2 linked regions of the Callithrix jacchus genome follow. The protein of the gene in region 2 purifies or fractionates together with the protein of the main gene of each other region. This does not show direct contact. Links are inferred from orthologs where the notes say so. Each region holds a gene or a part of one and is shown on either strand. Other genes may lie near its edges. The genes, in order: ATRAID and SLC37A3.

Region 1 (15,998 bases), on a different chromosome or scaffold from region 2:
AACCCCCACTCCTGTTTCAACACCAATAAATGCCAACTCTCTTCTCATTCCCAAGATACCCCACCCATCATGCCACAAGTGTGGGCCCCTTCTGCTCCCAACAAGTCCCACCTCATCTTGTAAGTCTTGGCCCCAATGGCTAAGGCCAATAGCTGGTGTCCCAGGCAGATCCCAAAGACAGGTCGGGGATTAGGCTCGGATAAAACATGGCTCAGCGTGGATACAACACTGGGATAGGAGGCAGGGTCACCAGGGCCATTACTTAAGAAGAGACCCTCATACTCTGGAGTGGGCAGAAAAGATGACATCAAAATCAGTATTTCAACTAGAGGAGACACACCTGCAGCCCCAGCGTTAATGTAAGTCTCAATGTCTATCTTCTTCACTGCAACTCATCCTGACTTTAAGCAATTGGACCAAGGGACATATCTTCCACCCAAGCTGTTTGTCTGAGGCCCTGAACAGGCCCCAGCTACTCACCTTGGCTGTCTAGAGCATGGTCCCAGGGTACCACAGTGACCTCAGCCCCACGCTGGCAGAGGCATCGGATCTGATTATACTTGAGGCCACAGTCTAAAGCAAGGATCCGAGGGGCACCCCCTGTATTGAATATCCGTGGAGTCTGAGAAATAGAGGAATAAAGGGCAACCGTTGACAGCTGTGCTCAGTGGGTATAAGATATGCCTGCAGCAACTCCTTTGATTCTCTCATGTGTTCACCCTCCCCACCAAATGTGGGCAGAATATAACTACTGTGCTACAGCTTGCAACTCTCTCACTCTACCTCTGTACCTTAATGGAGACCTCTGGAACCAGGGGGCGGGCATTGGGATCCAAGAATGGCAGGGATGAAGGTTCTGTTCCATTCTGGACCAGCTTCCCCAGCAGAGATCCTTGTTCCCGCAACTTCTTGGTCAGCTCCCGAGTATCTACTCCTGTCAAAATAGCACAGTCTTAGGGATCACATTCCCCCAACTCAGTCACCTGTGAGGTTAGACTTCCAGAAGCACTTCCATTCCAGAGCCCTAGTCACACACAGTTGTTCTATGTGCACCAAAATCCTAGGCCATTGTGATAGGACTACACTACCATGAAGTATTACTGCCAAAAATATCAAATCTGAATTGAACCACAACTCTAAATCTATCCATTTATAGAAAATAATATCAAGGGAAAAACGAATACACTAAGTAACCCTAGAGGAACGAAACCAAGTAAGTGCAGACTATGGGATACTAGACACAGGAAAAATGACCCATTTTCAGACAGGTTACAAGGTCCACAGATTAAATTTAAGAGACATATCAACCAAATGCAATGCATGAACCCTGTTTAGAATGAGTTTCAAACAAACAGTAAAAAAAAAAAAACAAAAAAAAAAATTACAGGAAATTGTAAACATTGCCTGGACACTTATATTAAGAAATTATTAATTTTTTTAGTGTATGTTATTGTGATATTTTTTAAAAAGATTCTTTTTCCACAGATATTAAACTATTCGTAGAAAAAACGATATGATGTCTGAGATTTGCTTCAAAATAATCTAGTGGTGGTGATGAAATAAGATTAGTCCCGAGCTGATGATTATGGAAGAAGGGAGTTCCTTTCTGTGTTGGAAATTTTCCAAGTGATAGCTCAATTCTTTCCCCCAGTCTAACTCCAATCTAAACCTTTCAACTATCACAATCTCAGAGTCAGGTCCCAGCAGACTTACAGAAACCTTCTTTCCATCCAGGCATGCCATGCTCTGCCCAAATATGCCTGTGCTTGCCATCATACCTTGCAAGCCAGGGATGCCATGCTGTTGCAGCCACTCATGTAGGGTGCGGGTGGCATTCCAGTGGCTGGGAGTAGGACAGCATTCTCCCACCACCAGTCCTGCCACGTGGATGCCCGAGGATTCAAACCACTGTGGATGGAAAGAGATTGAGAGGAGCTTCAGGCCAAATTATTTCTTTAGAGTATTATCCCCATTGTGTGGCCATTAACCCTATATTCAACCACACTGAATGGTCTTCAATATACCAAGCATTTGGTGCTTTTGCATAGATATTTCCCTTTACTGACAATGCTCTCCCCTATATAAAAAACAACCCACAGGCTTAGGGTGCCCAGTTCATCACTGAAAATGACATTTTCCTTTAAGTAATTACTTTATTTGAGAGTCTCACTCTGTCACCCAGGCTGGAGTACAGTGGCACGATCTCAGCTCACTGCAACCTCTACTTCCCGGGTTCCAGCGATTCTCCTGCCTTAGCCTCCTGAGTAGCTAGGACTATCAGCATGTGTCACCATGCCTGGCTTCTTGTATTTTTAGTAGAGACCGGGTTTCAGCATGGTAGCCAGGATGGTCTCGATCTTCTGACTTCATGATCTGTCCACCACAGCCTCCCAAAGTGCTGGGATTATAGGCATGAGCCCCCGCGCCCGGCCATTTTTTTTTTTTTTGGAGACAGGGTCTGGCTGCCCAGGCTGGAGTGCAGAGTACAGCAGCACGAACATACAGTTCACTACAGCCTCAAACTCTTGGGCTCAAGTGATGCTCCCATCTCAGCCTCCTGAGTAGTTGGGACTATAGGTGTGGACCATCCCACCTGGCTACTTTTTAAAATTTTTTGTAGTGACAGGGTCTCACCATGTTGCCAGGCTGCTCTCCAACTCCTGGGCTCAAGTGATCCTCCCACCTTAACCTCCCAAAGTGCTGGGATTACAAGTCATGAGCAACCGTGTTCCGCCTGTTTCTTCCTTTATCTAAAACTGAAATAACAAATCCCTTCTCTGTGAAGCCTCTCCCACTCACCCAATGCAGCTTGTGCCTCCATCTTAGAGCTCTCCTAACACTTCATTTCCTCTCTTGCTATTTACACTGTATCATGAATATGTATTTGTGTCTTTGTCACGAAACAGAGAACTCAAGAGCAAGACAAATGGTGTCAGTCAGACATTTATTGAGGTGCAGGCATTGCAAAAGATGCTGAGAAAAGAGCAATGAGCAAGAAAAGATGAGGTCCCTGTCTTCATGATGTTTATTTCTGACTTAGGGAGCCAGAAAACAAGGTAACACTCATGTAAGAAAGATATTATAGAGTGTGGTTAAAAACTGAAATAAATACATTACTAAGTAAAGAAACAAAGGTTCAGGGCACAATACTAAGCATGACCCCCAAACTTCGTTTGAGATTATTATTTTAAAAAGATAATATACCAGCCTGGACAATATGGCAAAACCCAATCTCTACAAAAAATACAAAAAAATTAGCCAGACATAGTAGCATGTGCCTGTAGTACCAGCCCCTTGGGGGGCTGAGTTGGGAGGACTTCTTGAGCTCAGGTGGTGGAAGCTGCAGTGAGCCATGATCATGTCACTGCACTCCAGCCTCGATGACAAAGTGAGACCTTGCCCCCTCTCCAAAAATAAAAAGGTAACATAACCTTGTTACTCAACAGCTAAGCATTTAATAGCTACACAGAAACAGAAAGTTTATGTGGGAGGGATATTTAAACTGCATTCAGCTCAGTGAAGAGTTTAAGGAACCTGCATTCTGAGACCGTCCAGGAGTCTGAAGGATAGTTTGGCAGAACCCTCCCCGGCCAGGTGGAGTAATCCATTTATATGCACAAGTGGCTCCAGGAGGTCTTGCCCACCTTGGCCCTATTAGGGACTCAAATTTGTAGTTTTATAAACTCAATTTTGTCAGTGTGCCTAGAGCTGACAAAAGTGATGACTGATACAGGTTAATCAAATTCACAAGAAATGGTACTATCAACTAGAATGCAGTGTATTTATAGGTTTGTGATTAACCTATAAATTCCTTTCCAGGACGAACAGTATGTATATCTTCTATCCAGAGCGCTCTCTCCCCAGTGTCAGGGTGACTGGGAAGGCAAATTAAGAATTAAAGGCTTAGATGTGTGCAATGAGGCCAAACACATTTGTGAAATGCTACTCTAGGCCAGAATGACTTTCTCTGTTACCTTAATTACTATATGTTGGTTTCTAAATGCTTGAACTGTCAGAGGGCAACTTAGTTTCCAAATTTCAGAGGTGAAGGAAGAGGGGAAACCTCACTGTAGGAAGAAATTCAGTTTTCTCACCTAGAGGTAAGAACACAACTGAAAAGCAAAAAAAATCAGACGGGGCAATGTCAGTAGGTCTAGAAGATGATAATCAATGATACTGGTTTTGTAGGTAAACTGGCACTCACTGTCACTGCGAAATGTGTGACCCTAGTTTCCAGTCTCTTTCCACTAATTTATGTAGTCCTAAAAAGCACTGCTCCCATCACATGATTGTTACTTTAAAAAAACAAACAAACAAAAAAAAACCAACCTTCAATGGATCCCTTACCAAATTAAACTGACTCTGCTTTGGCTCAAGTCCCTCCATGCCCACTGTATCTTATTTATCTGCAGGCTTTTTTCTCATGACTTCTGCATTCCTAACAATTACCTCTTTTACTTTCCTTGAACCATGCCATACAGAATGCTTAACAAAGGCTGTAGCTTTCTCCTGAGGCCTTCAACACTCTGTGCCTCCCACGGTACTTAGCAACCCCTGCCTAACTAGTTAGTAGTAAGTAGTCTTAGTGCCTGACTTACTACTTCAGTGGGTATGTTTTCTGAAGGATGCCCAGCAGGGTGTCAACGTCTCCTACTTCACTAACAGTTAACAACCGCTGATTTGAAAAGGAAAGCACTGGGTGTGGCTACCTTGCAGAGACCGAACTCATCCATTTCATCTGGGGGGATGCCATAGTTGCCGATCAGAGGATAGGTGAGCACTAAGATCTGTGCTTTGTAGGAGGGATCAGTGAGGGCCTCGGGGTAGCCGACCATGCCGGTTTGAAACACTGCAAGAAAGAAGCAGGGCTGGGCTCCGGCAGAGCACTCCCAGCGCGATGAGCACGCCCCAGTGGAGGCTGCCTTGGTCGCGAGAGGTGGACACGCTGAGGCCCATGGGCACCGAATTGGGGGGGGACGGGGTGTGCTGGCGGGAAAATGGCGGGGTCTGGACAGGGAAGGTGAGGCGGAGAGGCGCATCAGAGTGGGATAAGGTCTGCAGCCTACCCGGACTTGCTTACCCACTTCCCCGGCAGTCGACACGGCGGCCCCAAAGGGCTGGCCCCGCAGGACCGACCCATCCTCCAACACTAGGGCCGCCATGGGAAGGGAGCTCAGAGGCGGGGGCGAGTACGGAGAAGCGGGAAGGATGCAAACTCCACTGGAACCACGTGAGGATGGCGCGCCGGAATCGGTCCACGTGGCTAACGGCGCGGGGCGCTGGAGAGAAGGCGGGCGCGGCAGGCGCAAGAGCCTCTAGCGCGCTTGGAGGCGGCAGAGACGGCGGCGGCGCGGACACCGGTGGCGTCAGGGGCGGGGCTGGGCACGTAAGGGGCGGGGCTCCAGGAGCCAAGGGGAGTGACCCCTCGTGGTATCCGCACTGCAAAACCAGGAGGAAACCTGAAAAAAAATCGGCTGCCTTAAAGTAGTCTTTCCCACCCAAAGCTAGAAACAACTAAAGGCAGGACCCCTTTACTTAAAAAGAAAGACAGAAAGAAAAAAAAGAAAAAGAAAAGTGTTTATTATAGGCAACAACACAAATGGGAACTGGTACTTGTCTATACCAGGGGAGTGCAATTTTTCAACTTCCAATGGCGGCCTCAATCTTGAGGCAAATCCACTGACCAAAGATGCCTGTCTAGGAAGCAGAGCTCCGTGGATGGGCTAAGATAGATCAGATTGATCTTAGGTCAATGTAAGACCTATGTGGTTCATGAAGTCTTCGCTTTTCGGCGTTGGGTCCCCCAAAGCAGAATGGAGATGGATAGAGTGGTGGATCCCAGAATCCCGAAGAACATAAGCAGTGAGAACGAGCCCTGTGAATAACAGACCAAAACATATCCCATACAACGTTACACAGAGGGCGACATCCTAACACCTAGTTCATTCCCAAGGTATATCATCTCGTCTAGGACAATTCTATAGTTTTCTCCCTAGAGGTAATTTGTATTAGCTCCTGGTCTGTGACTCTCCTTTCTGAGAGGTGTTGCTCTATGCATTCCTTGTATCCCTAGTTAGAAGGCCTTATTCCTCACCTGGCGCATACACTTATATCCGTGGAAACCATCAGCACAAACACACTGCAAAAAACCTGGACCATTAGGTACACAAGATCCATTCTCAGGACACATTTCTGGGGACCAGAGAGAAATAGAGAACATCACTGCATCCATCTCATTAGGCATATTTCTCAATTATCTGTTTCAACTTAGATTCTCTCAATCATTTCTAGGATAAAGGAAGCGGAAAGATTACAGATAAAAACAGTAACAGTAATAGCATATGCCTTAAGATCTTTTCTTTCAAAGGGGTTAGAGCCCCAGAACTCTGAATGAAAGGCATTTAAGCAACTTTGTCTTCCTGATCTAAAGTGGAAAATACAAGGAAGAAAAGACAATTCCCAGAAGCTTGGAGGTAAGAGAGCATACCTGGGTTCCCAGTGTTATTGCAAAGGTTCTTTTGGCCTTGACAGATCTGGTTGTCTATATAAGAGGTGACAGTATTCCAGGCATTAATTCCTCCAGGACAGTTGACATCTTGTGGCAGTATCCTAAAGACAAACGTGGTCATAACATGCAAAGTTGCTAAACTCACAGCATTGCCCCTCTTTGATTCTCTTCCCATACCCTTACTCACAGAGTCTGGAGCTGAGTAAAGCCACGGAAGGTGTTGGCCAAGTCACCTTTGAGAGGGTTTGCTTGCAGATCTCTGCAAAGCACACACTGTCAGCACTTTCCCATCAACCTACACTATATTAGCCTTTTGGGTGGGAGGTGTCTAACTACTTACATGATGATAGTGGTATGTGCCTGATGAAAGTCTGGACCAGGGTCCTCCAGAGAACAGTTCTGGAGATCCAGCCTGAAGACACAAAGTAATCAACATAACTGTGTGTTCCCCTTTTTCTTCATCCACAGCAGTTTGTATTTGACTACACAACCCCCTTTTCAGCTAATAGTAATTGAACACAGCTGTGTTCCGACTCACATACTAGGTGCTGTGGTAGACATTTTAATCCTACATTATCCAATAGAGTCGCCACTTGCCACATGTAGCTACTTAAATTTAAATTAATATAATCTTAGGCTGGATGTAGTGGCTCACTCCTTAATTCCAGTACTTTGGGAGGCCACTGCAGGAGGATCACTTGAGCCTAGGAATTCGAGACCAGCCTGGGCAATATAGTGAGACCCTGACTCTACAGAGAAAAATTAACCTAAAAATTCACTGTCTCATTTGCACTAGCCATATTTCAAGTGCAAATGGAATAACCACGTTAGTGGCTACTGTACTGGTTAGTACAGATATGGAATATTTGCATAATCACAGAAAGTTCTATTGGCCAGCAATGTTCTAATAGGTTATGCATCTATTGGGAGAACTGTGTTTCTTGTCTATATTAGTGAATCTCATATTATGATTTTCAGATCCACAGAGGGCCTTTAAAAAAAAACACAAGTCACATAAATAAAATGTTTTCCGCATGTATTTTCTACCACAGATTGGTTGTAAACTGCTGGATATTAAGGATCATGCCACATTTTTTCTTCACTATCTACTGCTGTCAATTCCTTTATTCTACAAATATTTACTGAGTGCCTACTAACTGCAAACGCTGGGAGAATGTTAAAAATATATAACACAGTATCTTAGACTTGAGTGGTTTGCAATGTGGTTAGAGAAACAAGACCACTGCCCAAAATAAAAACACTGTATATATTAAATTACAATATGAAAGAAACCACAGGACAGTGTATAAAATATACACTAAAGATTACAGGAAGTTTCAAAAAAAAGTATTACTCTGGAATTTAATAGTAGAAAATATTCAGAAAAGATGTTGGAATTGAAGGATGGATATGTCCTAATTTGGTGGAGGAAGGCAATTTCAGGTATGGAGAGAGGCCTGAACAAAGGTAGAATGCCTTTGAGGGTAGGCAAATCTGGTGCCAGACCTCTTATGGAGGTTTGAGTGGACACGTAATTGGAAATAATGTTGGAAAAGTGGGTTGGGACTAGTCTATGGTAGCTCGTGGTTTGAATTTTATCCTGAGAGCAACAAACAGTTACCTAAATATAGTATTAAAGCAAGAGAGCGATAATGGAAAATGTTGGTTTTCTGAAAGCTTAATATAGAGAAGTATTTAGGTAGATTAAGGAAGAAGAGAATGGAAGCAAAACACAACATTTTTAGTTTGAAGTTAGGATGCACTTAGTAGGAAATGTTTAACAGGAAGAGCAAGAGGTACCCATATGTACCTGGGGTGTGGAAAGGCAAAAAGACTCTAAAGAGATCTAGTTTTGGTAGACACCTGCGTGATGGTTACAGCTGAAACCATAACAGGTGGATTCTCAAAATAATATAAGGGTAGAAAAGCAGCCAGCCTAAGGAATGGCCTGTATCCAATATCCAGGGATGTCTTCTCCCTCACCCCAAGATGGTGCCATTCTGATTCAGGCAGCAACGGGCATGTAGCATTAGCTCTCCTGTAGTTTTACAATAAAGGGCCACTTTTGACAAATTTTGCACACTCCCTGGACATTGGGTGCATATCTGCAGAAGAGAAAGAAACATTAGAACTCCGGAAAGAACACACGGGGATCAAGAATTAACTGCCAGCACACCTTTCCAGAATTCCTCTAACATGGGGCCGATAAATGGCTCGTGTCCTACCCTCATAACAGGCTAGACTAGGAGATGCCATTTCTTCCTCTAGAGTCCGGTGCCCAATCAGCTCCCCAGAGACTTTTCAGTAACAGACATCGCCCAGGGGAAGGTCCTCATTTCTGAAGATTACTATTCGAACATATTTATTATGCCCTCTGCAGAGACTTCTCAATCTGACAGCCTCAGTTTGTCCCGGTGTAAAAGGACCGCGGTATGTAAGAACTCATCAAGCATTACAAAATAAAGTGCAGCCCTACCACCGCACGATACACGGCATTCGTACGTAGAGCTTACACAAAGAGCCAGAGGACCCGTCTGTAGAAAGAGCTTATTCTAAAATTAAGGAAAGAGATCAAGTTTCACAGGTCTTTGAAAGTCGGCAGGACGGGGGCGTCGAAGGCCTGCACGACGTGAGCACTCGGGAATAGGACCTGGCTGGGCAGGGTCGGGAAGCGTCAGGGACGAAATCAGAGCCGCAGGCCGGCAGAGGGGAAGGGGGAGCCGCGGGCGAGCGCGAAGCGCTGGCCATCGACCCTGCTTCAGCCGGACTTCAAACTTGCTTCTGTACCTCGGGTAGAGCCAGAGCCCTTTCCACGCCCAGAGCAAGGAGCAGGGTGGCAGCCCAGCGCACCAGGATCGTAAGAGTACCCCGGCCGCGAGGCGCCATTTTCCGCTCCCTTGGTTCTCCACCGCTAGCGCGACCCGACCCCCGCAGCCCCGCCCCACGGCGCGTCAGGCCCCCTTCGCCGGGCGTGGCCTAAACGGCCGGGTTTAGTAGCCCTGGGGCTGGGTGGGGGCTGCTCCTGCTCGGGGAGCTCAGCTTTGGTCTTTAGGAGCCCCAGCCTTCTTTCGGGGACACTGGCCGACCACCTCTTCCTTTTCCCCTTTAGTGAAGGCCTCCGCCGTCGCCGCGCCGCTTCCTAGAGCCTACTGCAGGCTTCTTCAGCCCAGCGTTCCCCGCGCCTGGATGTCGAGGTCGCGTCTCCACGGAGACTCGGGCCCGTCCATCCGCCCTCAGTAAACATGGCGGCACGGCGAGCTGGGCTGGCGGAAGGCGGGCGGAGGGCGAGGGCGGGGCCCCCCACGGTCTCCTGGTCTGCGCGCCGCGGACGGGCTCTGGCTACCCACGTGTGGAGAACAGGCAGGTGGGCTTGGAGAGCGTGAGTCAGCACCGAGAGGCCCCGGGGAGCGGCGTAAGAGCGGGGGCGGGGGCGGGGGCGGGGGGCGGGGGCAGGGGGCGGGGAGGGGCGGAGCGAGCCAGCCCCGGGCTGAGAAGATCTGAAATGCGAGCGGTAGTAACGTGGTCGTGGTCGCCGCGTGGAGGGAATCTGGAAGCCAGGAAAGAACGAGGGTGAGGGTGATGGAGCAGGAAAGGGCAAACCGCAAACTCTAGCGGGAGGACACGAGCCTGGAACGCCCTGGGCACCTAGTCACCTTCACCTCAGTCGTGATAGCGCGCAGCGTCCTGGAGCCTGGCGAGGAGGTAGGAACGGGATAGACGCTTCCCTAACTCATTTTCTTTGCCTTCTCAGGCAAAGGGAGCGATGTTGATTTCTGGAAGCACAGGCGGACCTTCCTAGCCCTGGCTGAACCACGGAGGTAAGGGAGTGCGGAAGGGTGCCAGGGGGAAGCCCTGCTCCCGGAGTGACTGTCTTGGTTCAAGCCAACCACAAAGCTCCTTAAAGCCGACCCAAGCGATCATCTCTAGTTGCCGACCCAGGCTTCCCTTCCACATTACCCTCCGGTGTCTGCCTGGACATTCCTGAAAGATTTACGTTTAGCTGGTTGGCAAATTTTCTAAGGTGTTAGTAGCTATTAGCATTTTTTTTTTTTATTTGAGACAGAGTGGTGCAATCTTGGCTCACTGCAACCTCCACCTCCCGGGTTCAAGCAATTCCCCTGCCTTAGCCTCCAGAGTAGCTGGGACTATGGGCGCATGCCACCACACCAGCTAATTTTTTGTGTTTTATTAGAGATGGGGTTTCACCATGTTGGCCAGGATGGTCTCCATCTCCTGACCTCATGATCCGCCTGCCTCAGCCTCCCAAAGTGCTGGGATTACAGGTGTGAACCACCTAGCCAGGCTGCTATTAGCATTTTAAGGAGGGCCCCCAAAGCCTTTCACACCTTGAGGAATTATAGCCCCAGGACAGATTTTGAGGGGATCTTTTTGGAACAGTCCTGCAGAGGACAGTGAGACCCTTTGCCTTTTTTTGTAAGAGACAATTCCATCTACTGCAGTGTGTGAACAAAATGAGTTAGAGGTTTTTTTTGTTTGTTTGTTGTTTTTTTTTTTTGAGACAGAGTTTCGCTCTTGTTACCCAGGCTGGAGTGCAATGGCGCGATCTTGGCTCACCACAACCTCCGCCTCCTGGGTTCAGGCAATTCTCCTGCCTCAGCCTCCTAAGTAGCTGGGATTACAGGCATGTGCCACCATGCCCAGCGAATTTTTTGTATTTTTAGTAGAGACGGGGTTTCACCATGTTGACCAGGATGGTCTCGATTTCTTGACCTCGTGATCCACCGGTCTCGGCCTCCCAAAGTGCTGGGCTTACAGGCTTGAGCCACCGCGCCCGGCCTAGAGTTTTTAAAAGGGGTCCCACAATCTGCTGTTTGTGCCTTAGTGTGTTATAGTTCTGGTGAAACAAGAGATAGGTCTTCCTTTTGGCCCTCCCTTCCTGGAGACATGTAAGGGTTTGGATCAATATAGGGTTTTTAGAAAACCACAGATCTGTTCTCAGAATCTAGTCTGTTACTGAGTCAGGTTTTTTCTGTCTTCCTTGGCTCTCTCTTGTGGCATCCGGGAGAATTCTCCACACATCATGCAAATAGAGTTTTATCAGGAAGTCCTATCAGCAGAGTATCTTGAAGGTCTGTGTCCCACATTGGGAGTTTCCTATCTCTGACCACCTGCCTATCTATACCATCAACCCTGTAGTGTTGTATGTTCTTTGCACACAGCAGACATCATCTTTCCTCTTACTCCCCAGTAGTTCCCATCATCTCTATCATAGCAGTAAAAACTTGCCAAGGACAAATGGGAAAACTCAGGGTGTCGCAATGTGCAAAGCCCCAGGACATCTTTTGGATAAACCAGAGTTTAAGCCCAAGCTGGACATGGTAGTTCTTGCCTGTAATCCCAACACTTTGGGAGGTTGAGAGGGGTGGATCACCTGAGGTCAAGAGACCAGCCTGGCTCACATGGTGAAACCCTGTTTATACTAAAAAAAAAATTAGCTGGGTGTGGTGGCACATGTCTATAATCCCACCTACTTGGGAGGCTGAGGCAGGAGAATCTCTTGAACCCGGGAAGCGGAGGTTGCAGTGAACCAAGATCTGCACCATTGCTTTTACACTCCAGTTTGGGCAACAAGAGCAAAACTCCATCGCAAAAAAAAACAAAAAACAAAAAACAGCCTGTTGGGAACCTTGTAGAACATGTGATCCAAGAGTTGCCAGCTCTGATTTCCTCTCTTTTTTGGCCCCAAGAAGTTCAGAGTTCAGGTTTAGTCTCCATGAGGCCATAGCTTGCTAGCCAGCCAGTGTCTGCCCAAGAACACACTGTGGGAGAGCCAGAAGTCAGCCTAATCTTTCTCCTAGTGGGCAAAAGCAGAAGACACGTTTAATCTGACTCTTGGTTGGTTGAAATCTAAACTATGTCCTGTGAATGACTGATTACCTCACTCCGCTCCTCCCCTGGTTCTGGAAGTAGTGAGAACAGGGCCCTTGGTGAGCACCTGTCATAGCTGCAGACAGTACTGCTTCTTTCTCTCTTGTTTTGTATCATGCTGCGTAACCTTGAGCAAGTTATTTAATCTGTCCGTTTTCTTGTCTGGAGGGTATTCATGTCTCAACCTGAGACATGGTGTTTTCAAAGTTATTACTGCGTTATTTATTATTGCAAATGTTTATAAAGCACCTCACACACTGCTGGGTTACATAGCAGGTGTTCAAGGAGTGTTAACTGTCGTCATGTTAGGCTGTCTGACTACATGGCATTCTCTGTTTTTTCCCCATACCAGTAAATACGCCAGAGGATTGCCTCTGAAGACAATAGGATATGCATGGAGAACAGACAGGGTGGATGGTGAATCCCTAGACCTGGGTTCTAATTTACCCTCTGACAATAGTAGGCTCTGTGGTTTTGGAAAGGTCACTTGAACCATCTGAACCTTAGTGTGTTTATCTGTGAAATGGTCAGTGGTGGGGGGTTTGTTATAATAGTGGTATCCAAAGATTTAAGATTTTAAATATTATGATCCCTTCCTTCTTTCTCTGAGGATTGTGGTATATTCTTGGAGGATTAACATATCTTGTGTAGGAGTTAAAAAATCAACTTTCAACTTTCCTGTCTATTCAGTTCCTGCTTTCCAACTCCCTCCTGCACAGAGTGCCAAGAGTACTTTAGGCTGAAAGCCTAATCCATCTAGGAATGCTGTTGAATGTGAGCTCCCTTTTACCTCTTCTGGAGCCTCTAGGGCTGAGTTGGAGTTTGGGGGCCATAGGGTGACAGGGTCATTTGGAGCACAGCAATTGGTTACCTGAACAAATGACTGCTGAGTGCCACCCCACCCCCAATTCCTGATCTCACCACAGCCTCTCATAGAGCCAGATCTTCAGCTCTGCAACTCCAGGCAACTGTGCCTCAGGACAAGGATTGCTTCTCCAGGTAGGTATCTGCCCCCAGCAGGATGTGACCACTCTCACTGGCTGGTGCCTTTGCCTCTCAGCTCCTTGGCTGGGTTGCTTCTCTCCAGAATGGAGAATCATAACTCTGAAACCCTGACTCTAACGTGGTGCCCTCTCACCTTTCCCTTCTCATTTTTGAATCCAACCACTTTTCCTGCGTCTGCTGTTGGCTATGGTGTGGCAAGTAGAGGGGTTGAGAGGTGGGTGGCAGCGCTTATTTAGTGATGTTGGGGAAAACCTAGTGGTTGGCCTGGGGCTGCCACAGAGGCAGTCTTACTGATGATCAGTTAGGAGGGTGACACTGGAGATCATGGGTGGCAAGGGCTGAGGCCAGGGGCAATAGGAAAAGCCCTGCTGCCATTAGTCTCCATGTTGTCTTTCCTGCTGGGCTGTGGCGCCAGGCTGGCTCTGCTGGCTTAGTGTATTGTAGTGACTGGGTCTGTGCCTTCAAGTGGGGCCAGGAAATTCTTCAAAGAAACTTAGCCTAGAGTTTATTTTTCTTTTGCTTCTTGGATGGAGACCTAAGAAGTTCCTTGAATTTCACAGCTCTTGCATACCCAAAGGTCCTGGCCAAGTTCTATTGTCTCTTGGCTGTCTCAGTCTGCTGCTTCCCCCTCACTTACCGCTCCTACCAAACCCGTATCAGGGCCTCCATACCCTGAAGGGCTACCACTATGCTGGCTGGTCCACTTCTGGTGGGCGTGGGATATACAAGGCCCAAGGGTGAATGGCTACCAAGATAGGCCTCACTAAGAGCTAATTCCTTTGCAGCTCACCCTGGACAGTGTCATTCCGTGGAGGAAGACTGTGAGACCTTGGCTGGGAGCCAGGTTGTAGCCACCCATCCGCCCCTGCCCTAGCCCAGAGCCCTGGAGCATCAGCTGGCTGCAGACCACAGATACAGTGAGGATATGAGTGTAGGGGTGAGCACCTCAGCCCCTCTTTCCCCAACCTCAGACACAAGCATGGGTACGTCCACCTTCTCCCTTGTGGACTATGTAGTGTTCATCCTGCTGCTGGTTCTCTCTCTTGCCATTGGGCTCTACCATGCTTTTCGTGGCTGGGGCCGGCATACTGTCGGCGAGCTGCTGATGGCGAACCGCAAAATGGGCTGCCTTCCAGTGGCACTGTCCCTGCTGGCCACCTTCCAGTCAGCCGTGGCCATCCTGGGTGTGCCGTCTGAGATCTACCGATTTGGAACCCAGTATTGGTTCCTGGGCTGCTGCTACTTCCTGGGGCTGCTGATACCTGCACACATCTTCATCCCCATTTTCTACCGCCTGCACCTCACCAGTGCATATGAGGTGAGCAGGGACGGAAGGGAGAAGCACATGGGACCACTGGGGTTGGGGTGGAGAGGATGGACAGACACATCTGAAGGACCTGGGACTCTGGACCTTCTCTACCTAATGAAATGACAGAAAATTCATTATGTATTTTTAGTTCTTCGATTTCAGGAGTGGGAGCAAGGTTGTAGAGGGTGCATGCCAAGTAGGACTCAGAGAGGGCATGGGTTGGATATTCCCTCGTGCTCCTGAGCATCTTGAGGGAAGTTTTGTGTGAGTTGTGGGGGTGAAGTCAGGAGGAAAACCTTTTTTCTACATACCCAGTACCTGGAGCTTCGATTCAGTAAAACTGTGCGAGTATGTGGAACTATGACCTTCATCTTTCAGATGGTAAGTAGAATGAGCATGGAAACCAAGCCTGGGGCATGTTGGGGGACCTGAACTCAAGTGTGCTGAGGGAATTCGAGTCTCCCCTTGTCTCAGACTGGCAGGATTGAAATTCCTGCTAGAGGTCAGCATCTGTAAAGCCCCCGGAGGCCTATTCCTTCTAATTCCAGCACAGATACTATAGTGGCAGCAAGCCAGAATTTGGAAGGAGGAAGAAGAGGGAAGGGAGCCTAGGTGAGAGAAAGCCATGGGCATATTGGCGTTGAGGCCCATCTTTCTTCCTCTCTCTTCCCACCCTCCCCCTCGCCCCCCTCACATTTTTTCCACAACCAACAGGTAATCTACATGGGGGTTGTGCTCTATGCTCCGTCCCTGGCTCTTAATGCAGGTGAGGAGTCACACAGCCATGGGAGGCTTGGAAGGCACCTTTGGGAGGGGCAGATGGAGAAGAGTGTGTGGAAAAGAACCTGACCTTGGACAGGGAATTAATTTACTGCTTAGGCCCTTGGATGGGTCTCTACCAGAGGGAGGCTTAGTCCACCTCACTTGAAAGCTAGTGACCTGTTACCAGGCCTCATCTGAACTGGTTAAGCAATACCTTTTGGTGGAGCTCTGCAAACTTTTTTTTCCCATTGTGGTGAATGATTAATTCCATTGTTAATCACCAAGTGCTTTATCTCTGTGGCATGACATGATTGCCCTACCAGGGCTTCTAAGCTCATGTGGCTTGTGTGCTTACAGTGACTGGCTTTGATCTGTGGCTGTCAGTGCTGACCCTAGGCATTGTCTGTACCATCTATACTTCTCTGGTAAGTGCAGTAAGTCCTGGTGAGGGGGAGGAGAAGGGATGAAGTAAAGAGGGGAGATGGGAAGAGAAGGAAGAGAAGAGATAAGCTGAGAATATAGGTG
Region 2 (15,375 bases):
CAGAGATGGGAAGGTAGGTGTATTTTGCGAGCCACAGATAGTTCTGTGAGGGCACAGTATGGGATGCCTACAAGTGAGTGGCTTGAGGTGATCCCAGAGAGTGAGCAGAGCCACCTCACCAAGGCCCTTGCTAGCTTCTGAAGGTGTTGTGAGAACTGGATTTGTGTGTTGGAACCCTTGGTGGTAGAGGAGATGGAATGGTAATGAGTAAGACCAGGAACAGAGAGCCTTGGAGATAGGAAGCTATTGGCTAAGAAGGGAACAACTGAGGACCTAAAGTAAGGCTCTAAAGTAGGGCTGGAAGAAGGGAATTGAGTCAAGAAGGATTAGGAGGTAGGTGTGTTGCAAATGACTGAGAGGTGGGGGACATGATTTGTGGAGAATGACTCTTGGATTTCCGATATGGAGTTTGGGCTGTTGGATGAAGTAGGAGACGGAGATTTAGTTTTCTCATCTATAAAATGGAAAAAATACTTTGCAGGTAACATAGGCACATCCCTTAGCACAAGCATATGGTTGTGAGTCAGTCCATACTGGTTCTTTCTGCTTTCTCACTTTGTTTGTTTCCTCCATTCTCTCAGTGCAGGTCTTTGTTTGGTTAGTTCCATCTTTGGGATGCTTTTCTTTGCTGTGTCCCATGCTTCCCACTATAACTGCCACGTGGGTGATTCCCAGATCCCTCTCTCCAGCCCTGATCACGCTTGGATGCATTTTCGACTGTGTTCTGGCCATCTCCACGGCCTCTCACCGTCATGAGCGAGAACCGCTCCCAAATCTCTTTTTCCTCTTGAGGTCCATATGCCTGTTAATGGCACTGTCATCTTCTCAGTCAATTTGGCTACAAATCATTTTCTCTAGTTGAGAAAACACATCCACCTCTAGTGGTTTTGAGTGTTTCAGAGTCGTTTTGATGTCTTTCTCTTCCTCTTTCATTTCTTCACATTTGGTGAATATTTGACCTGTTTAATCACCTCCGTAACATTGTATACACCAGTTTCTTTTTCTCATTGTTACTTCTCTCGTCAGGTCTTTCCTAGTTCCCATCCGAACTATGACACTGGTTCCCTATCTCTGGTTTCCCTTCCTTTCAAGCCATCTTGCCACAACTGCCAGACCGAGCTTCTGGAAGCTCTGATTGGATCACCCCTGTCGCCTTGTGGGTTCTCCACACCCACTGGATCAAGCCCAAGCTCCTAAGCCTGTCATTTAAGGCACTGCATGTCTAAACCCCATGTACCACTCTGATTTTATCTCCCCACATTCTTGCAGAAAGATGGGGCAGTTCTCTGTACCTTCAGTATCATGTCTGTGTCTTCCCCGGAGGAGACTGTGCTTATTCTCTAAGGCACAGTCGCGAATCTGGCCTAACTTTCACCAAACCAGGTAATTCTTTCTCATATTACATAGGACTCAGTCCTTTTTTTTTAATTTTGTTGACACAGAGTCTTGCTCTATTGCCCAGGCTGGAGTGCAATGGCATGATCTCGGCTCACTGCAACTCTGCCTCCCAGGTTCAAGCAATTCTCCTGCCTCAGCCTCCACAGTAGCGGGGACTGCAGGCACACGCCACCATGCCTGGCTAATTTTTGTATTTTTAGTAGAGACAGGGTTTCACTGTGTTGGCCAGGCTAGTCTTGAACTCCTGACCTCAAGTGTTCTTCCTGCCTCGGCCTCCCAAAGGGCAGGGATTACAGGTGAGCCACCTTGTCTGGCCAGTGCTTATTTAAAATGATCTGTGTAGACATCCTATCTCTCCTACCACATTTAACCTCCTTGAGGTGCCTCCATTTCTGTAACCATCACAATGCCTTCTTCATAGTCAGTATATGTTTGTGGATGGAACGTATTACACTCTTCATCTTCCTAAGGCATAGAGGCATGACCTTTGCTTTTCCAAATGCCCATTCCCAAGGGTCTGTGACACAAGACAATGAGAAGGTGGAGGACATCTGACTTTCCCCTGTGGAGCCTCTTGCAGTTTAATACACAGCAGCGTGAGGATGTTACACAGGCAGGTTCTTATTTAAATTCCTGGTAACTGAGCCCAGCAGCACGTGGTGGGTTTGATTTAGTCTGTACAGCACTTAACTCTTTCTATGGATGAAAGTGGATGAAAGTTCATGGACTGAATGGGAACTAGATAGATTGAGAAATTAACTCATGTTTTGTGCAGTTATACAGAGCTCTAGGCACCAGTCTGATTTTTCCTTATAGAATCTAGAACTTTTTTTTTTTTTTGAGATGGAGTTTTGTTCTTTTGCCCAGTCTGGAGTGAAGTCGTGCGATCTCAGCTCACTGCAACCTCCACTCCCCGGGTTTAAGCAATTCTCCTGCCTCAGCCTCCCAAGTAGCTGAGATTATAGGTGCCTGCCATCACACCCAGCTAATTTTGTATTTTTAGTAGAGACAGGGTTTCACCATGTTGGCCAGGCTGGTCTCAAACTCCTGACCTCAGGTGATCCACCTGCCTCGGCCTCCCAAAGTGCTGAGATTACAGGTGTGAGCCACTGCGCCTGGCCAGAATCTAGAACTTAACTGACATACTTCTTGGGTACTTTCAGACATGTAGCCAAACACGAAGTCAGGTGATTTATTTGGTAAATTCCATAAGCTCTGTCCTGCCCTGGAATGGCTTCTCAGCTAGGCTGGGAAGGAGGTGGCTCTCGGTTCCGGTTTCCAATCAGTGACTTCCAAGAACTGGTTAAGAAGCAGGAAGAATAGAAAGAGTTAGATGTTTCTATGTTGGGCTAAAAAAACCCACTCAGATACCCGGTTTCTACAATGCATGTGTCCTGGCAGCCAGACAAGGAAGGAGAGAAACTGTGAAGGGTGCCAGGGTGCCAACAAGAGCACCCGCATTCTTGGCAGAGCTCAGAATAGCGTTCACAGCTCTCAGTGATTCATCATCTGCAGGCCTGCCCACCCATGATCCGAGTGACTGAGGATGGGGTGAGTCAGGCGGCTCCCTCTCCCCATCACCCTTCTTCTCTGGCTCACTTCTGTGTCCTCCTTGGGCCCTATGGGCTGCCGAGCAGAGGGGAGGCTGATGTGGTGGTGGGCACTGCCAGTGAGGAAAGGGTTCCTGCTCTGGGTCTGTGCCAGGGTGAAGCCTTCGTGGTTTCTTGAAGGACTTCCGGCTCCCCTCTGCATTCAGCCCTAGGCACATTTGGAGAAGAGGGGACTCTTCACTGCTAGCTCTAGGGACCCATCTGAAGGTGGGGCCTGCTTAGCCCCTGGGAGCTACTCAGTGCTTCTTTGTTGATGTAGATGCCACCCCTCATCATCATATCTGCCCCTCTTAAATCTAATCTGCATTCTCTTCTCTTTCTTCCCACTCTTTTCTGTTTATTCTTTTCTTTCTTCCCTTGCTCAGCAAGAGTGATATTTATTTAAGACATCATGGCTGTTAAATGTTTGCCTCTGGAGATAATTTTTCAGCCAGGTGCCCCTCTGCCTGTTGGCTGGTCCACAGTGATGGCTGGCCATGATGGGAGGGGATGGCCTGCTACCCTCAACACTGAACTCCCTAACGTGGGTCCAGGCCCAGGGCTCATCACAGCTACCCGCTTTGACCTGCAACAGAATCATGAGTTGAAAAACCATCCTAGTGCCATAATAGGCTCAAACAGGGATCACTCTTCATCTGGTCAACCAGAGCCAGGCCACAGGCTGCATGGCTTCTCTCAGTGAGGCTCTCATTCTCTGATCAGTGCGTGGCTCTTGCTGGGTGTCCCACTTTACTTCTATAGCAAAAAAGCCATTTTACCTCTGTTGCCACTTTCACAAAACATTCTCTTGTATCCACTCAAGTGAAAGCTGTGAAGTGTCCTCGTTCCTCCCTCACAGAGAGAGCTCCTAGCCTTGCAGCCCTGCGTGTGTCTGTCACTTACCAGCAGCATGCCAGGACACTGCAGACATCCAGGTTCGGAGACTCGTCTAGGAAGCCATGCCCTGTGTGGGTGAGGACAGGAGAGTGCTGCCTCCAAGTGTTCCTGTTTTCCCTTCCCCGTGGCCGCCAGGCACAGATGCTGCGGGGAGAATGCAGCTTTAGCAACAAAACATCCAAATATACTTATTTCCAAAAAGAGCAATGCAAGATGAAGAACAGAGCGCTGTGTGGATGATGTCCTGTGTGAGGACAGAACACAGGAGGAGGTTGAGTGGAAATAAGGTTTCACTTCTTGTCCAGGAGTCAAAACTTAGTAAACACGACCAGGTCTCCAGATCACAGTGAATTCCAAATCCCAGTGGACGACCCACTTATTTCAAACATGTTTGTAACATTATAAAGCACAAGGGATGGGTGAAATGCACAACCCTGGGACAATTTGGGGCACTTAGATGTGAAATGTTTGGAAATTGCTTTCATTTTTCTCATCAGAGCCATCCCGCGGAATGGGTAGTAAAGAGACTTAGCCCCATTGAGAGGCGAGGACACTGAGGCACAGTGAGATGGACATTCGCATCGATTCCAAAGAGCACAGACTTGGTTAGCACAACTGGGCTTAGCCCCTTGATCTGTGTGTGATTTCTGTCACACTGCCCTTTTTTCACTAAACCTCTTTCACGTGAGAGATGAAAACAACACATCACCAATAGGACCCGTGCTCTGGGCTGTTGAATTAAAGTCGGAATGAAGTTTACTGAATTTACATGCCCTCCCCTAGCACTCTGTATATCCCATTTGGAATTTGTGCAAGTCCTAGGAGCAGGCTCCCTCTCTGCAATTGCTCAGGACTGAACTCCGCTGGTGCTACCCACACCTTCCCAGACCCATTCCTGCCAGCATCTGCTGCACTTCCCCTTGACCATGTCACTTCCCATCAGACTGTCTCTTCTTCTCACATCTCCCTGACTATGGGTTGGGAAAAGGGAATGCTAGGCCCTGGGTTCCCTGAATGTCCTGCCCTTCATGCCACATAGTATGGAGTGCCTACCACATGTTAGGTTCTTTGCTAGACCTGAAGATACAAAGAGAAGGCACAGCTGGGACCACACCACCCTGGATGTGCCTGGCTTCAGAAGCCAGGCGGAGTTGGGCCTGATTAGTACTTGGATGGGAAGAGGCATAGGTCCTGCCCCTGAGGACCTGGAGTTTAGTGCTGGAAACAAATTAGATTCCATCACCCTCATTCAGCACCCCCTCTTCTCTTCTCTTCTAAGTCCTGAACTGTGATTCTTTTTTTTTTTTTTTTTTTTTGAGATGGAGTTTCACTCTTGTTGCCCAGGCTGGAGTGCAATGGTGCAATCTTGGCACTGCAACCTCTGCCTCCCAGGTTCAAGCAATTCTCCTGCCTCAGCCTTCCGAGTAGCTGGGATTACAGGCATGCACCCCCATGTCCAGCTAATTTTTATATTTTTAGTAGAGACAGGGTTTTTCTATGTTGATCAGGCTGGTCTCGAACTCCTGACCTCAGGTGATTCGTCTCAGCCTCCCAAAGCGCTGGGATTACAGGCGTGAGCCACCATGCCTGGCCCCTGAACTGTGATTCAGTTCAGTAAACCTCTTTGATGTAAGAGGTTTACGTGAAAACCTCTCATTGTCTCTTCCATCTGCCATCTTCTGGGAAGCACTCCCTCGTCCAGCGAGTTGAGCACTGGCTGATAGATACATTCCCACCCTCTTCACTGCCATCTCTGCATCAAGGAATTGCTCAGCCATGTTCAGTTCTTAGTGAAGGTGCCTCCCTTTGCAGGGCAGTGATGCTTACTGGACTTTAATCATAAGAGGCTGTGCCTCCTCCAACCTTCCTGCTCAAAATCCCTCAAAATCTCCATCTCTCATCCTCCAGTCACTCTGAGGCTACCTTCTCCCCATGGCTGGCCATTTCAAAGATGTGCCTTATGTTAATAATAATGTATTGTATATTTTAGAAATGCTAAGAGAATACATCAGGTGCGGTGGCTCACACCTGTCATCTCAGCACTTTGGGAGGCCGAGGTGGGTGGATCACTTGAGGTCAGGAGTTCAAGACCAGTCTGACCAACATGGTGAAATCCTGTCTGTACTAAAAATACAAAAATTGGCTGGGTGTGGTGGCGGGCACCTGTAATCCCAGCTACTTGGGAGGCTGAGGCAGGAGAATCACTTGACCCCAGGAGGTGGAGGTTGTAGTGAGCCCATATACCATTGCACTCCAGCCTGCGCGACAGAGGAAGACTGTCTCCAAAACAGTATTGGAGGTGATGGAAATGTTAATGGGATTGATGTAATCATTCCACAACATGTATATATCTCTCAGAACATTACATTATACCCATAAATAACTGTCAGTTTAAAGAAGGATATTTTGGGGGGAATTTTAATAAACAAAAACCCCACAAGAATGTGCCTTGTCTGATGGAGACTCCCTTTCCTGTATTTTCTTACACTGCTCCCAGGCCTGCTTGGCCATCGCTGCCCATGCTGCATGCCTTTTCCACTCTCCCTTTAGCGTGTGAGGCAGGGCAACCAGGTCACATGTGGGGCTGCTCTGGGCCTGTGCGCTCCAGCCTCAGCTAGGCCCTGTGACATTCAGCAGCCACTGAATTCTTCCTCTGTGACATGCCACTGTTGAGCCGTCAGAGTCGCTCCTGGTCCTCTCTTTCAAAGCAGATGACTTCCTTTACTATCTTTTTGGGCGAGTGTGGAGCCATCTTCCTTCCTCACCCTAGAGACTCTGCTCTTTTCTCTCTCTCACCCTCCCCTCACTTCTGTCTGCATCATCCTCACCTTGCCGGGCCTCTGCACTCTGTTCCCTCAGTCCCTTCTGCTCAGTGATCCCTCTGCATCCTCTCCCCTCTTCAGTCCCTCCAGAGTTTCTCTCTGTTTTCCAGGCTGGAGTGCAATGGCACCATCTCAGCTCACTGCAACCTCTACCTCCCAGGTTCAAGCAATTCCTCTGCCTCAGCCTCCCGAGTAACTGGGATTACAGGCATGTGCCACCTTGTCAGGCTAATTTTTGTATTTTTTGTAGAGATAGGGTTTCGCCATGTTGGCCAGGCTGGTCTCGAACTCCTGACCTCAATTGATTTACCTGCCTTGGCTACCTAAAGTGTTGGGATTACAGGCATGAGCCACTTCACCTGGCCCCTGCCATTTATTTCTGCTGCCTCAAGCTCCTCTAATCTAAAAGACAAAAGCCACACATCCAAAGGAAACCCCAAACCTTCCCCCTCACTCCAGCCCTCTCCCTTCATCATTGTGGCCACCACTATAGCCTCATTTGGACCCTCCCTTTGTGGCCTTCAGCTTCTGGCTGTCATCCATCCTGGCCCCTCCACTAGCCTTCCAGGGGGTCCCTGTCTCCTCTCAGATGCTCATCATTCTCAGGAACAGCTTTGAGAACGTCACTTGTTCTGCTCAAAATGAAGTGGGAAGTCCTCAATTTGGCTTGGTCTCCTCATCCCAGTCCCCTCCTCTCCTTCCAGCTGCTTCTCTAATTGAACTCTGCTCCTGTCAAACTGGCTCTGTCCTTACATATACCCTATGTTCTTCCCCCAGACCTCTGCCCGGGCAGGGAGTATCCTTGCCTTCTCATCTGAACTTCAGTGCGCAGCTCACGTGCCAGTGCCTTCACGAATCCTTCAGCGATCCCCACAGCCAGGTGCGATGCATGCCATCTCCTCTCCAAATTTCTCCAGGTATGCTTTTGGAAGCCCCTGAAAGCATGTGGCTGTATTACTACTGTCAGGTCTATTTCTAGCTTTAATCTCCTCAAGGATTGGAAATATGTGTTTTTAATTTTATCTACCTCCCCGGCCCCACTCCACTGTCTAGCATATAGCTGTGCATTACCGCTGGTCCGTGAGTCTGAAGGGGCTTAGTGGAGATGGTGCTGGCTGTCACCACTGGGCACAAAGGCCCAGACTGCTGGCCCACAGCTCACAGAGCCACTCCTGGTATGTTTTGTCTAGCCACTCTAGAGGTTTTGGGTTTTGTTTTTTCAGTAGTAAGATATATACAACATTTAGTTTTCGTTGTTGTTCGGTTTTTTTGAGATGGAGTCTCGCTTTATCACCCAGGCTGGAGTGCAGTGGCATGATCTCAGCTCACTGCAACCCCCACCTCCTGGGTTCAAGTGATTCTCCTGCCTCAGCCTCCTGAGTAGCTGGGATTACAGGTGCATAACACTACACCACCTAATTTTTGTGTTTTTAGTAAAGACGGGGTTTTGCCATGTTGGCCAGGCTGGCCCCAAACTCCTGACCCCAAGTGATCCTCCCTCCTCGGCCTCCCCAAGTGCTGGGATTACAGGCGTGAGACACTGGGCCTGGCTGTTAGATATATATAACATTTTAACCATTATTAAGTATACAACGCAGTGGCATTAGTTATATTTCAAATGTTGTGCAAACATCACCGCTGTCTATTTCCAAAACATTTTCATCACCCCAAGAAGAAACTGTGCCATTAAGCAAGAACTCCTAGGCAACTCCACCCTCTCCCTGCCCCACCCCGTGCTAATCTCTTATCTAATTTCTATCTGTATGAATTTGCCTATTCTAGGTATTTCCATAAGTACAATCATATAAGTACAATCCATAAGTACGGTCCTTTTGTGGCTGGCTTATTTTGCTTAGCATAAGATTTTTCAAGGTTCGCCCATGTTGTAGCATGTGTTGGAACTAATTTTTTTTCGAATTGCTGAGTATTGTATTGCATGGATATATCACATATTATTTATAAGTTATTCTAGACACTTGGATTGTTTCCACTTTGGGTTGTAGTGAACATTGGCCTACAAATATTTCTTTGAGTCCCTGTTTTCGATTTTCTGGGGAATATACCCAGAAGTGGAATTGCTGTATTGTATGGTAATTTTATGTTTAGCTCTTCGAGCAACCCACTGTAGAGTTTTAAAAATTCAAATTAATTAACCACTTTCAAAAATGAGGAATTTCACACAAAAATTAGATTTTTTTCAATTTCTTTTTTTTTGAGGTGGAGTCTTTCTCTGTAGCCCAGGCTGGAGTGCAGTGCAGTGGCAGTGGCATGATCTCAGCTAACTGCAATCGCTGCCTCCCGGGTTTAAGTGATTCTACTGCTTCAGCCTCCTGAGTAGCTGGGACTACAGGTGCCTACTGCCACACCTGGCTAATTTTTGTATCTTTTGTAGAGACAGGGTTTCACCATGTTGGCCAGGTTGGTCTGGAACTCCTGACCTCAGGTGATCAGCCCACCTCAGCCTCCTAAAGTGCTGGGATTATTGTCATGAGCCACTGTACCTGGCTGAGATTTTTTTTCAACTTCTCTTGACACTCCTGGGTTCACCTACAATGATATGATCTGCTGGGGATGAGTGGGAACTGCCGCCTCTAGATGGGGCATCTGGTATCCAGCTCGACAAGGGCCTTACCCAGCCGGCATCAGACATTGGTTCCTGCCTGGGCCCCGCTCCGAGCCTTTGCCTCAATCTCCTTCTTTCATGAGGTCTTCCAGTCCCTTCACACAATCACTCCTTCCCTATTATGTTCATACGCGCTCATTATTTGTTTACATCCCAGACCTCTCTCCATCTCGACTGTGATAGTCTGAGGGCAGGGCACTTGTCTTTTCATCTCTGATTTACCCAGGATCAACAGACGCGTTGTTGGTGCTCAAAGTCTTTGTCAAATTGAAGTTTTAAATTGGATAGCTGAAAGCCAGGCATCATGGTTCATGACTGCAATCCTAGAGACTCAGGAGACTGAGGCAGGAGGATCTCTGGAGGCCAGGAATTCAAGGCTACAGTGAGCTAAGTTTGCACCACTGCACTCCAGCCTGTGTGACTGAGTGAGACTTCAACTCTAAATACATAGATAAATAGATAGATAGATAGATAAATAGGTAGATAGGAATGGGATAGAATAGAATACTGAAGGTTAGGGCAGGACTAATTGGTACAGATACCATTGACTGAATCAAGCAAGTACTAAATTGCATTGTAAAATATAAGAAAAGGGGAAAAAACTAAAATTGGGGAAATGAGTTATAGATTACAGGCAATGAAAGAAGGGCTAACCACTTCCTCATATGGAATATTTCTTCATTTAGGGTTTTTCTTTTAATCACTCTTGGTGTAGTCTCATCAAAGACGTGTAAAAAGTGATTTGTCGAATTGTGCGTTATGTGCCTGTAGTGCCAGCTGCTCTGAAGTTTGAGGCCAGAGGATAACTTGAGCCCAGGAATTTGAGTCCAGCCTGGGCAACATAGTGTGACCCCTGTCTCTAAATAAACAAATTAATTTTAAAAAGGTAGTTTATGGAAAACAGGTACAATATCATAGAACAAATTAAAAAAATAGGATCAAAATGTAATATCTATATACAAATGCAAAAGAATGAGTTTGGATCCCTACCTTACACCATATATTAAAAATTACTCAGAGTGGATCATACATCTAAATGTAAGAGCTAAAACTAAAAATCCCTTTGAAGAAAATGTAAGACTAAATCTTTGTGATAGTGAGTCAGGCAGTGGTTTTTTGGATCCCCACCAAAAGCACAAGCAACAAAAGAAAAAACAGATAAACTAGACTTCATTTAATTGAAGACTTTTGTGTTTCACAGGGCACCAGCAAGAAAGAAAAAAACAGCTCATAGATGGGAGAAAATATTTGCAAATCACATATCCAATCAGGGACTCCTGTCTAGACTATTTAAAGATCTTTAACAACTCAACAACGACAAAAAAGACATGACCCAGTTGAAAAACAGGCAAAGGATCTGAAGACACATTTTTCCAAAGAAGGTTTAGAAATGGTCAGTCAGCACATGAAAAAGCTCAACATCGTTAGTCATTAGGGAAATGCAAACAAAAACCACAATGAGGTGTCACTTTACCCCCACCAGGATGGCTATAATAAAAGAGGTGGAGGATAAGAAGTGCAGTGAATGTATGGAGAAATTGGAGTCCTCACACATTGCTGGTAGGATAGTAAAGTGGTATAACCACTGTGGAAAACAGGTTGATGGCTCCCGAAAAAGTTAAACATGGCTGGGCATGGGAGTTTACACCTGCAATCCCAGTACTTTGGGTGGTGGAGGTTGCAGTGAGCTGAGCTTGCTCCACTGCACTCAGTGGAGCAACAGAGTGAGACTGGGCAACAGTCAGTCTGGGCAACAGTCAGTCTGGGCAACAGAGTGAGACTCGGTCTCAAAAAAAAAAAAAAAAGTTAAACATAGAGTTACCAGGTATGGCATGGTGGCTCACACCTGTAGTCCCAGTAGTCCCAGTACTTTGGGAGGCCAAGGTGGGCAGATTGCTTGAGTCCAGGCATTTGAGACTAAGCCTGAGCAACATGGCAAAATCCTGTCTCTACAAAAAAATACAAAAGTTAGCCAGGCACGTTAGTGTACACCTATGATCCCAGCTACATGGGAGGCTGAGGCAGGAGGATCATTTGAGCCCAGGAGGTCAGGGCTACAGTGAGCCCTGTTCATACCACTGCACTCCAGCCTGGACAACAAAGTAAGACCCTGTCTCAACAAAACAAAAACCCAAGACATAGAGTTATCATATGTTCAAAACACTTCTACTCTTAGGCATATATGCAAGAGAAATGAAAACGTATGTCCACACGAACACTAATACGTGAGTGTTCATTGTAGGATTATTCCTAATAGCCAAATGGCCGAAACAACCCAAATGTCCATGAACTGATAAGTGGATAAATAATATGTGGCATATCCATGCACTAAAATATTACTTAGTTATGAAAAGGATTAAAGTGCTGATACGTACTACAGCCTACACCCACCTTGCAACATTTTGCCAAGTGCGAAAAAAGCCAGTTATAAACGACTACATATTGTATGATTCCTTTTGTATGAAATGTTCTAAATAAGCAAATCTATTGAGACAGAAAGCAGATTCGTGGTTGTCTGAGGCTGGGGTGTGGGGGAGGAGGGAAATAAGGAGTGACTGATGATGGATACAGGGTTTCTTTTGGGGGTGATGAAAATGTTCTAAAATTAGATTGTGGTGATTCTTGCACAACTGTGTGAATATGTTTAAAACCACTAAATAAAAAATTGTAAAAAAGAGAAAACAAAACAAGCAGATAAAAATCACTGAACTGTAAAAGAACAGAAAGAGGACCAGAGAGAAAATGCTACTCATTCCTTTTACATAAATAATAAAATACACAATCCTCAGAGGTGACTGAAAAATGCGCCTGAAGTCATTTACACTAAAGCTTTACAGATGACCTGGCATGGTGTGTTGTTTGCTTTAAAATGCTCCACATACCACCCCGTGCAAAGTGACCTTGGCTGGGGGCGAGATGAAATACAATAGGCAAAACTCTTCATAAAAGCTGGCGATGGGCACATGGGTATTCATGGCGCCGCTCTATTTTTGTGAATGTTAAAGTTTTTGTCCATAATAAAAGTTTAAAAAAGAGAGAGAATGAAAGCATCTGTAATCTGCAGTTCAGCAGTTACGCATCAAATACGATCTGTAGGTGTGCGTGCCTTTGGGGAGCTGTGTGTGGGGGTCTGTGGCTGTTGACAGACACACCTTGGTTTCTGTGAACCTGCATTTCTATGGATGAAGGCAGGGAGGGATTCCTGGAAGGGGGTGACAAAGCCATCTGGGGATGTGTGACTTTGCTAGGGCTATGTAAAAATGACCACAACCTGGGGAGCTGAAAACAACAGCAATTTCTTTGTCTTTCTTTCTTTCTTTTTTTTTTGGAGACCATCTTGCTCTGTTGCTCAGACTGGACTGCAGTGGCATGATCTCAGTTCACTGCAACCTCTGCCTCCTGGGTTCAAGTGATTTTCCTCCCTCAGCCTCCTGAGTAGCTGGGATTACAGGTGTGTGCCACCATGCCTGGCTAATCTTTTTGTATTTTTAGTAGAGACGGGGTTTCACTGTGTTGGCCAGACTGGTCTTGAACTCCTGACCTCAGGTGATCTACCGCCTCAGCCTCCCAAAATACTGGGATTATAGATATGAGCCACTGCGGCCAACCAACAATAGTGATTTCTTCTCTCATATTCTGGAAGCCAGAAGTCTTCAGTCAAGGTGTCTGTCGGGCCAGTCTCCCTCTGAAGGCTGCGGGGTGGGGATATCCTTCCTTGCCACTTCCAGCTTCTGGTGTCATTGACAGTCCTGGGTGTCTGTTGCTTGTAGACTCACCACTGCAATCTCTGCCTCATTACAGGACATTCTCCCTGGATCTCTTCACATATTCTTCCCCCTGTGTGTGTCTGTCTCTGTCTCTGCTTCCTGATCTGATAAGGACCCCCATCATATTGGAGCAGGGCCCACTCTAATTAAGTATGACCTCGTTTGAACTTGATTATATCTGCAAAGATCCTATTTCCAAATAAGGTCACAGTTACAGGTAGTGGGGGTTAGGATGTCAATATTTCTTGTTGGGGGACACACTTTTAACCTACGAAAGAGCAGAAGGCAGGATAAGCAGAGATAGATTCTTGGAGTGTAAATCCAGAGAGATGAAGCCCCAGCTGCCCCCTAGGCAGGCTGCAGAGCACAAATTTACAGTGATTAGACTTGACCTTAACGCATCATTCGCTGGCCAACTTTATTTTTTCCAAACGGAGACAAGCCTTTTCTGGGACCCATTTCCCACTCAGCAGTTTGGACTGAGGAGTGACACATCTAGACCCTTCCATTCAATCAACTCTTTTCACCAGAAAGCTTTTGGGGATAATTCTAATGCGTATTCACTTAAGAAATGTTTCAGAAAAAGCTAGTTTCTTACTCTTTGACACAGACATGCACATTTAGAGTTTATCTTCTGAGCTGGCTGCTAAAGTTGTTTTAGACTCTACAGTTAAATTGACCCAGAAATAATTCCTCGTTTGAAATTCCCTTTGCAATGTTTCTCACTCTGACTCTGACTCCAGGTTACATTGTGCTGTTTTTGCTCTTTAATCTCACACTGGCCTTTGACCAAAGGCAATAAAATCTGACTTCTGTATTAAATGGTACTTGAAATATATATAATGTTATTTGAGTAATCCGGATGTCTGATAATTGCAAATGTATTTTCATATGATTGTTTGAAGAGTTTCATGGGAAAAATGCAAGCTGCTCATACTTCCTGAACCGTGTGAGCTGTTTACTGCTGAGAACTTTCCAGAGGAGGTTGGAGGGAGCAGAAAGCTGAAGAGAAGGGCTGGATTTGGGCTTTGTTTGCCTGGACTCTCTCCACAGTTATCGTCAACCTACATTTCAGCTCCAATCCATAGGAGTCATTTGCAACTCATCTGTTTTCATCTCTTTGCTCCCAGGAGTGTGGAAAAGACAGGAGCAGAGAGGAGCTGAAGTTTTGCAGAGGATAGGGAGGAGGTTGGCTTGACCCAAGTGGAGAGAGGAGGTGGGGGTTGAGAGCAGCTGGAGAGAGCTTTGGCTGCTGGTGTGGGTAGCTGGGATTTTTATTATTTATTTATTTATTTTTGAGACAGAGTCTTGTTCTGTCACCCAGGCTGGAGTGCAATGGCGTGATCTCGGCTCACTGCAATCTCCGCCTCCCAGGTTCAAGCAATTCTCCTGCCTCAGCCTCCTGAGTAGCTGGGATTACAGGGCACCCACCACCATGCTTGGCTAATTCTTGTATTTTTAGTAGAGACAGGGTTTCACCATGTTGGCCAGGATGGTCTCACTCTCCTGACCTCATGATCCACCCACCTCGGCCTCCCAAAATGCTGGGATTAGAGGCATCAGCCACTGCGCCTGGCCAGGGATTTTTCTTTTTTTCTTTTGAGATGGAGTTTTGCTCTTGTCACCCAGGCTGGAGTGCAGTGGCATGATCTCAGCTCACTGCAACCTCTGCCTCCTAGGTTCAAGCGATTCTCCTGCCTCAGCCTCCTGAGCGGCTGGGATTACAGGCGCCTGCCACCATGCCCAGCTAATAATTTGTATTTTTAGTAGAGACAGGGTTTCACCATGTTGGCCAGGTGAGTCTCAAACTCCTAGCCTCAAGTAATGCACCCGCCTCAGCTTCCTAAAGTACTAGGATTACAGGCATGAGTCGCCGCCTCTGGTCAAAAGCTGGCATTTGAACCATTGTCAGTTCCTGAACAGAGATTTAAGAGATTGATGAGCACTGGATGAAATCTTAATCCTCTGTCATCACTGGTACTTATGTAGACGTGGGAGAATAGGAGGATAACAGTATCCAAACAGGCTGATAGTATTTCAAGACCGTCCATGTGTTGCTTGAGTCCTAAGGGCTGGGCATGGTGCTAACAGCTTTATGTGTGTGGGGCACCTGCCAGCTGCCCTGCTTCTCTAGCCTATGTGTGATGGGAATTCATTCTTTTACCTGCATGGGCTTTTCCATTTTGCTTTTCAAAAACCCACATTTACAGCAGACTCCCATTCTCACAGTAAAGCGCACCATAGAATCACTTTACATCGCAAGTCCTCCCCTCTCCTAC

The links.
Region 1: the proteins of SLC37A3 (region 2) and ATRAID purify together in Homo sapiens (affinity purification with mass spectrometry; 3 studies listed by BioGRID and IntAct, counting the BioPlex papers as one, with this or other methods). This does not show direct contact. The link is inferred for Callithrix jacchus from reciprocal best matches to the Homo sapiens genes SLC37A3 and ATRAID.

The regions. Positions count from the first base shown.
Region 1 is NC_133515.1:87,796,040-87,812,037, forward strand, and holds ATRAID (all-trans retinoic acid-induced differentiation factor), read right to left. Parts: upstream 9,439-15,998; 5' UTR 9,395-9,438; coding exon 9,296-9,394; intron 8,614-9,295; coding exon 8,492-8,613; intron 6,921-8,491; coding exon 6,849-6,920; intron 6,768-6,848; coding exon 6,696-6,767; intron 6,610-6,695; coding exon 6,488-6,609; intron 6,193-6,487; coding exon 6,095-6,192; intron 5,876-6,094; coding exon 5,771-5,875; 3' UTR 5,564-5,770; downstream 1-5,563. Other genes in the region: multifunctional protein CAD, read right to left, coding at 112-283, 481-622, 792-934, 1,779-1,908, 4,710-4,849, 5,081-5,162; SLC5A6 (sodium-dependent multivitamin transporter), read left to right, coding at 14,328-14,720, 15,027-15,092, 15,426-15,477, 15,831-15,898. UniProt on the Homo sapiens protein: Promotes osteoblast cell differentiation and terminal mineralization. Plays a role in inducing the cell cycle arrest via inhibiting CCND1 expression in all-trans-retinoic acid (ATRA) signal pathway.
Region 2 is NC_133512.1:107,010,269-107,025,643, forward strand, and holds the end of SLC37A3 (sugar phosphate exchanger 3), read left to right. Parts: intron 1-7,483; coding exon 7,484-7,623; intron 7,624-10,530; coding exon 10,531-10,633; 3' UTR 10,634-12,016; downstream 12,017-15,375. UniProt on the Homo sapiens protein: Unlike the other SLC37 members, lacks glucose-6-phosphate antiporter activity.